Linked DNA regions of Callithrix jacchus. The main gene of each other region encodes a partner of the protein of the gene in region 2 in a complex. Links are inferred from orthologs where the notes say so. Each region holds a gene or a part of one and is shown on either strand. Other genes may lie near its edges.

Evidence for each region.
Region 1: the proteins of RANBP9 (region 2) and ARMC8 are in contact, whole or in part, in a cryo-EM structure (PDB 7NSC), measured with the Homo sapiens proteins. The link is inferred for Callithrix jacchus from reciprocal best matches to the Homo sapiens genes RANBP9 and ARMC8. Residues at the interface, in NP_005484.2 of Homo sapiens: Tyr271, Gly298, His299, Ser300, Leu301, Gly302, Ile303, Asp337, Asp340, Tyr341, Arg343, Glu344, Thr347; in NP_001350870.1 of Homo sapiens: Gln245, Arg246, Asp247, Val277, Leu278, Lys279, Ile317, Ile320, Thr321, Asp322, His323.

Annotation. Positions count from the first base shown.
Region 1 is NC_133518.1:46,106,115-46,109,938, reverse strand, and holds part of ARMC8 (armadillo repeat-containing protein 8), read left to right. Parts: intron 1-619; coding exon 620-762; intron 763-867; coding exon 868-965; intron 966-3,824. UniProt on the Homo sapiens protein: Component of the CTLH E3 ubiquitin-protein ligase complex that selectively accepts ubiquitin from UBE2H and mediates ubiquitination and subsequent proteasomal degradation of the transcription factor HBP1.
Region 2 is NC_133505.1:17,034,631-17,038,454, reverse strand, and holds part of RANBP9 (ran-binding protein 9), read right to left. Parts: intron 2,720-3,824; coding exon 2,529-2,719; intron 1,252-2,528; coding exon 1,104-1,251; intron 1-1,103. UniProt on the Homo sapiens protein: May act as scaffolding protein, and as adapter protein to couple membrane receptors to intracellular signaling pathways. Acts as a mediator of cell spreading and actin cytoskeleton rearrangement.

The DNA.
Region 1 (3,824 bases), on a different chromosome or scaffold from region 2:
ACCTTAGAATGTAAGGTAGATGGTCATAAGTAGAGGAAGGTTAGGGTTTGGGGAATATTTGTTTGTCAAGCCAGGCTGGAGTGGAAATGAGAGGATCTCTTCATTTTCCAAATAAGAAAACTGAAGAAAGAAGAAACTCCCTTACCTGAGGAGCTGCACAAGGGCTTTATAGATTCCCTCTAGGCTCTATCTCTACAAACTGCACTTCTGCTCTAGATTCAGAGCAGTAGCATTTCTAGATTTCTAGTTTGAATATAAGATCTGGCAGCACATGGCATTTGATTGAGAGTCTTCATATTTTGGAGACCCAACAGGAAGTGGTAGATGATGTGGACTCTGATGATGCTGTTTCTACAGAGACCACTTGTGGACAACTTTCAGATGTACACTTTTGATAAACCCTGAGAATATGATAGTTCTTTTTTTCAAAACCTCTTCTAGATTTTTTTCCAGATGTTTCTTTCTTTAATTAGCAGATGAGATAAACAAATGACCATTGAATTAATATAAACTCAACCAATCATGTTTTTATTATGTGGACTGCACAGCCTTTTTTGGTCACATTGAGCCTTGATTAAATTTTTTTAGTCTTTTTGTTTATTAAGTTCCTTCTTTTTAGATTGTTGTACTTGCTTCAGCAAGAAACCTCAACCACAGAGCTGAAAACTGAATGTGCAGTGGTGTTGGGAAGTCTTGCTATGGGTACTGAAAACAATGTCAAGTCTCTACTGGACTGCCATATTATCCCTGCCTTATTGCAAGGTATGTAGGGAAGCCATTTTTTGCTCAAGTAAAGATAAGAATCAGTTTACAGTACTTTAAATACTGGTTGAGAGGATTAGTCCTAAATTTAGTTTCTGTTAATAGGACTACTGTCCCCAGACCTGAAGTTTATTGAAGCTTGTCTCCGATGCCTGCGCACCATTTTCACCAGTCCTGTCACTCCAGAGGAGCTACTGTATACAGTGAGTTTTAGATGTATTTGAGATATTAGTTGCATTTCACTAACAGCCTACTCCTAATTTGCTTGGCATCTTTAGACTCATCATAACTATGTTGTATAAAAAAGCCTCAGCTGGGCATGGTGGCTCACACCTGTAATCTCGGTGCTTTGGGAGGCTGAGGTGGGAGCATTGCTCGAGGCCAGGAGTTCAAGACCAACCAGAGTGATGTAACAAGACTCCATCTCTAATGAAAAAAATAAAAATAAAAATAAATTAGCCTGGTGCAATGGTGCATGCCTATAGTCCTAGCTACTCATGAGACTGCAGTGGAAGGATTGCTTGAGTCTAGGAGTTTGAGGTTATAGTAAGCTATGAGGTGCCACTGCACCTCAGCCTGTGTGACAGAGCAAGATCCTGTAACTTAAAACAAAAAAATAATAAAAGTCTCTGCCAGGTGTGGTGGTTCACGCCTGTAATCCTAGGAGTTCGTGAGGTCAAGGCGGATATAGTACCTGAGGCCAGGAGTTAAGACCAGACTGGCCAACACGGTGAAACTCCGTCTCCATTAAAACTACAAAAATTAACTGTACATGGTGGCACATAGCTGCAACCCCAGCTTCTTGGGAGGCTGAGCCATGAAAATCACTTGAACCCAGGAGACAGACATTGCAGTGATTGGAGATCACCACCCCACTCCAGCCTGGGTGACAGTACAGACTCTGACTCTAATAAATAAAGTCTCAAAAACTGTTTGAGTTCTTGCCTCACTATACATGTGAATTTGTGTGTGTGTGTGTGTGTATGTAGGTATGTATGTATATGTGAAAGAATCCTGAGACAAGTTTCTTGACATAGTTCCACAGATGAAATGCCCTCTGGTTTCTGTGTTGTCATTTTTCATTCTTCAAAAAAATGGTGATTGTGATTATCTGAGCCAACATAACAAATTATGTTGTTAAATTGTGCACACAGGAGTCAGAGATCTTACCCAGAATTAGGCTTTTTAAGTATTTCAAGACTAGAAGTAATAAAGAGGCATAGGCAAAGCAAGCATAGAGAAGAGACATGTCACATGGCTCCCTAGCCTGTCCTTTCTACATCAGACACATACTCCGCTGGCCCTTAATGATACATAAGGTGGTCGGTAGATGAGATTTATGGGTTACCTCACATAGGGAGCACCTAAATTATGAAAATTCTTTTATTTTATTTATTTTTGATAGGGAGCTTTGCTCTGTCACCCATGATGGAGTGCAGTGGCTCAGTCTTGACTCACTGAAACCTCTGCCTACCAGGTTCAGGTGATTCTCCTGCCTCAGCCTCCTGGGTAGCTGGGATTACAGGTGCATGCCACCATGCCCGGCTAATTTTTTTTGTATTTTTAGTAGAGACGAGGTTTCACCATGTTGGCCAGCCTGGTCCTGAACCCCTGACCTCATGATCCGCCTGCCTTGGCCTCCCAAACTGCTAGGATTGCAGGTGTGAGCTGCTGCACGTGGCCTAACATCTTTATTTTATACCTCATAGTTTTATGTGAGATTCTTCAGGGAGTCATACCTCATATATCTATAGATTGTTTACTGCAGTGGTTCTCAGATTTGAGGTTGCACTAGAATTACGTGGAGGGCTTGTCAAACAGGGATTGCTAAACCCCACCTCCGGTTTCTGATCCAGTGAGTTTTGGGTGTGGCCTGAGAATTTGCATTTCTAACAAATTTCCAGGTTCTCTCTTTAAGAGTTACTACTTTACTGTAGACATCCTGCTTAAAGCTTTCCATAGAGGACTTAGTAAATATCAGTTTATTTTCCTGTAGTTCATATGGTAATGTTTGCAGAGATTAAGCCAGTCACCTGTCTTATTTACCCTGGAAGTTTCTCACCTACCCTCAATCCCATAATAAGGGGAGAAGTTGATCCTGGCCAACTACTTTAACTCCTCCCACCTCACTCTCTAAACTGATTTTTGTCCTACTAATGGATCATGGTGCACAATTTGGAAAATTCTGGTCTATGCCAACTGTTTTACATGAGAAAAATTGAGACCCAGGGAGGTTAAATTTAGATAGAATATCTAAATTATGAATCATCTCAATTTTGTGCCTCAGATATTTTATACCTCAGAGACAGTGGAGAATTTGTAAAGAGTTGGATTGGGGAATAACTAGCAGCAGTGTTTCAGTGTATTAATTGACTTCTATGAGTTGGGGTGTATAAAAGCCAGCTGTTTGAGCAACTCAGGCTGTAGAATAGAGATGGGGTAGGTAGTCCAGTAAGAAGATGGCAGGATTTCTAGTTTGAAATTGTGTTTATTAGGTGGGTGATTTTGGGTAAATTTTGTATTCAATAATTGTTCTTTGCCTTATTTAATCATCTGTAAACTGTAGATATATAGACACAATTAACAGAAAGGGGGCAGATATGAAAAAATGGGATGGGGGCTATTGTAACTGAGGGAAATTGAGGAATGCAAGAACATTAGAGGAAAAGAAGGAGGTGGAAATAGCTTTAGGAGCCTAATAGAGACTTTTTAATCTACTTCTCTACCTTTTCTATCTTAGCTGCTATGTACTTCACCATTCTTTGCTCAAAGTAGAGTCTGTAGGCCAATGGCATCAGCCTCATTTGGAAGCTGACTCTTAGGATCCTACCCCAGACCTACAGTATCAAAGTACATTAAGAACATCTCCTGGGAATTTGCATGCACATTCCTTCTTGGGAAGCATAGCTCTTGTGATGTCATTGACTGGGAAGCTTGAGCTAAGTCTTCTTTCTTATCTGCGGTTCTAGCCAGATAACCTTTCAACTTTTAATTTCTTCGGCATTCTTTTTTTTCTTTTTTTTTTTTGAGACAGAGTCTTGCTCTGTTGCCAGGCTGGAGTA
Region 2 (3,824 bases):
CTGCTGTGAAAGATGATTTTTCTGCCATTCTCATACACTTTTGTGGTTCTCCATTATAAGTTGTATCAATCACACATACCATCACTTCAGTAATTTTTGTCGTGTGTGACATAACCCAGAAATTTTGATTACTCTCCAAATTTTCAAATACAGATTTTTTTAACATAGACTCCTTTCTCCAAAATCATATTTCCATTAAGATTCCATGCTAAAATTTAGGTTCTCTCTCCTTTAAGAAGAAAATGTTACACTGATGATGGCCATTTCCTGAAAATGCAGTGTAACCAACCGATTTGTTAGAGCCCAAACCAATATTAAATTAACTCAGTTCTGGATGATTTGGGCAGGGTGAATTCACAAGAATTTGCTTCTGCACAGTAGTATTCAATTCAAAAAATTTCACTTCATGAACTTTTAGGTTTCATAAATATTAAACGTGAGTATGTCAAGGGTCATAGGACACTGACTGAGATATATCTTCTTGCAAAGCTCTTTGAAATCAGATACCCTACCTGGCATAATGTTTGGTCCCCAACAAATCCTCAAAACTATCCTCACATTGTTTACTAAATGACTTAGACATCTGCTATATGTAAGCTACTTAAAGACAGGCTTTCAAAAATGATTCTTTGCAAAGTTAGTTGTTCTGAACTTAAAAAACATTCTACACATTTACACCAAAAAAACACACGGAGAGAAAAAAATTAGTTGTAAATTTATCTTATGTTACCATTCGAGGTTAAATATACTACTGTGTCTTAAGTACTGTGAAAACCTAACAAATGGCATTTATGTGATCATCTGTATTAGCTCTGTGGCTGGCAGGAAGACAATGCATGGAGTCCTGAATTTGTCCTTAAAACGTTACTAGAGGGAAAAGCGTAGTCGAGAAGAGGAAGAAACTAAGGAAAGAGCTCATTCGCATAGTAGGAGACTAAAAACCTTTGAGGAACTGACTCCTTCCCCTTTTATTTTCTGAGGGCTTAAGAACTCCCAGAGCCCCTTTGTGGGTCATGTAATTCAAGTTCTTTCAAAATTATTACAATGATTACACTTATAACTAGGTTGCTTATATTAATGCAAAAATTAGTGAAATTACTTACCTGGTGAAGTTATTAACTTGCTGTGATCTTGACATATTTATACTGTTCAGTTCTGGTACATTCAAATTGGATGACTGGTGTTTATTACTATGGCAATATGATTGATGTGCTTTATTTGATATTACACCATTACTACAGCTTTCAAAACCTGAGAAAAAGATACCACATGGAAACAGAAACAAACACTAATTTATTAATGAGGTTGTAAATAAGTCTCCACGTTCATTTTGTATTTAAGACTTCTAGAACGTAGGCAAGTCAATGGATGATGTAAATAGTAAACAGGTAATTTCTTTGAAAGGATACTAAGAATACTTAATTGGGAGATCTTAATTATTACTTCATCTAGCATTTATTGAAGGCTTAATTACAGATTTCATTTAATCCTCACAATCCCCCTAAAATGGCAATATGATCATTACCCCAACTTTACATATGAATACACTGAGGCTCAGAATTTGTCCAAGCCTGAAGTGACTGTATGATATTCAAGAGGAGTGCCTAAGAACAGACATGAGAATCATACTTGTGGTACAGAATAGAGATGTAAATAAACTGAGAGGAAGTAATGCAGAAAAGAGGATAAACTGAAGTGAGAAAAAGCAATGGTGTTACTTCATGAAAGGAAAAGCAACACTATCTGACTAGTTTAAGAATGTTAAATGTACAATGATAACATCTTGGGAAATGCAGAATTAAAGAGCTGGGTAAACAGAAGACTGCGAAGCATCACAAATAAATCTGTTGCTGGGCATGGTGGCTCACACCTATAAGCTCAGCAATTTGGCAGGCTGAGGCAGGAGGAGCACTTGAGGGCAGGAGTTTGAGACCAGCCTTAGAAACATTGCCAGACTCCTTCTCTTTAAAGAAAAAACAAAAACAAAACCACAAAACCTGTGACAAAAGTCAAGAAAGGGGAAGAGGTTTAATTAAGAGAACAGCCAAAGTCACAGACAGTAAGACTGGTGAGCCAAAAAATGGATGGGAGAAAATGAACTAGGCAGAGCTGACTTTTGCAAGAGGCTTGGTTGGGAAAGGTTGAGGGTAGGGAGGCAGGGGCAGCCCAGCTAGGTGTGGTAATCAGATATCACAGCCGGATTGCCTTTAAATTTATATTTTATTAAAACACACAATTACCTTTTCACACTATTAAATATCAATAATATAATTTCAATGACTACTCATTTTGAATGCTGACTTTCATTTATGAAGGTCTGCTAATAACCTACTCTCAGAAACAACTGTTCAAGTTACTTCCTGGTACTGAGAACATGTAAATCTGAACCTACAATTTTTCACTTTGAAAATCTTAAGTATACACATTTGCAACAGCTACAAAAGAAACATACAGATTTTAAAAAGGAAAAAGTTTCAAGATTATAAAGAGGAAAAATCTCAAAATAATGTCATTAGATAAAATCTCACCAGAAAAATGTGCAGTACTTCCTTTGCCTGATGCTAAATTGTGGATATTCATTCCATGGCTGGGGCTCATACTTGGACTACTAAAAGGTCGAGGACTAACAGGATAACTGTCTTGAGACTTTGGACTTCGGCCTCCCAAACATCGTACCTCACTATCTGTACCATTCACCATTTCTATAAACTGACGTACTCTACAGGAGAAAAGAAAAACATACTTAAGACATCATCTTCAAATGGCCTTTCGTTTACTTAATAGCAACAGATTTCTAAAATATTTTTTAAACTTTTATTTATCAGTCAGATTGGTCTTTAGATAGTAAGCTAAAAATATTAAATACAGTGTCCTATACTTTATTGGTTAGAATATTAGAATTTCCAGAAAAACAAGAGTATAATGCAATAGATATTACAATAATATTACCCCCTTTAATCAAGATTTACTAAATGGAAGTTTACCTATAAGAAGACATGAACGCCATTTTGTTTAGCTACAAGTAATTTAATCAAAATAACATTTGAACTTGGTAGTAGGTCCAATTATGCCTATGATCTTATGTATATATGATACATGTAAAATACAGCCTTTCTCCCTACCTGTCCCATTTCCAACGCCTTAACCAAAATGGTTCTTATTTAAACTTCTACTTACTCTAAAGCAAAACAATTCTGTCATTTGACTTACAAAGAATAAGTTGCTTAAAGAGTTGAAATCTGAAGCTCAATAACATCTAATTTTTAAAATAACAGATTCATAAAACCAATTAGAACTATCAAATCAGGATGGCTATTTTTTAAAAAGCAGTAAAACACAGAATTACCATATGATCCTGAAAATTCACTTCTAGGTATATAACCAAAAAAATCAAATGCAGGGACTTAGATATTTGTACACCTACACCATAGCAGAATTATTAATAATAGCCAAGAGGCAGAAGCAAACCAAGTGTCCATCAGTGGGTGAATGGATAAATAAAAAAATGCAGTATTATCCAAACAATGGAGTACAATTCAGCCTTCAATAGGAAGAAAATTGGCTAGGTGCGGTGGCTCATGCCTGTCATCTCAGCACTTTGGGAGGCCGAGGTGGGCGGATCATCTGAGGTCAGGAGTTTGAGACCAGCCTGGCCAACATGGTGAAAGCCCATCTCTATATTTAAAAAAAAAAAAAAAAAAAAAGAAGAAGAAAATTCTGATACATGCTACAATAAAGATGAACCTTAAGGCTATTACACTAACTAAAATAAGCCACTCACAAAGAACAAATACTCTGATTCCACTTATATGAGTAGTCATATT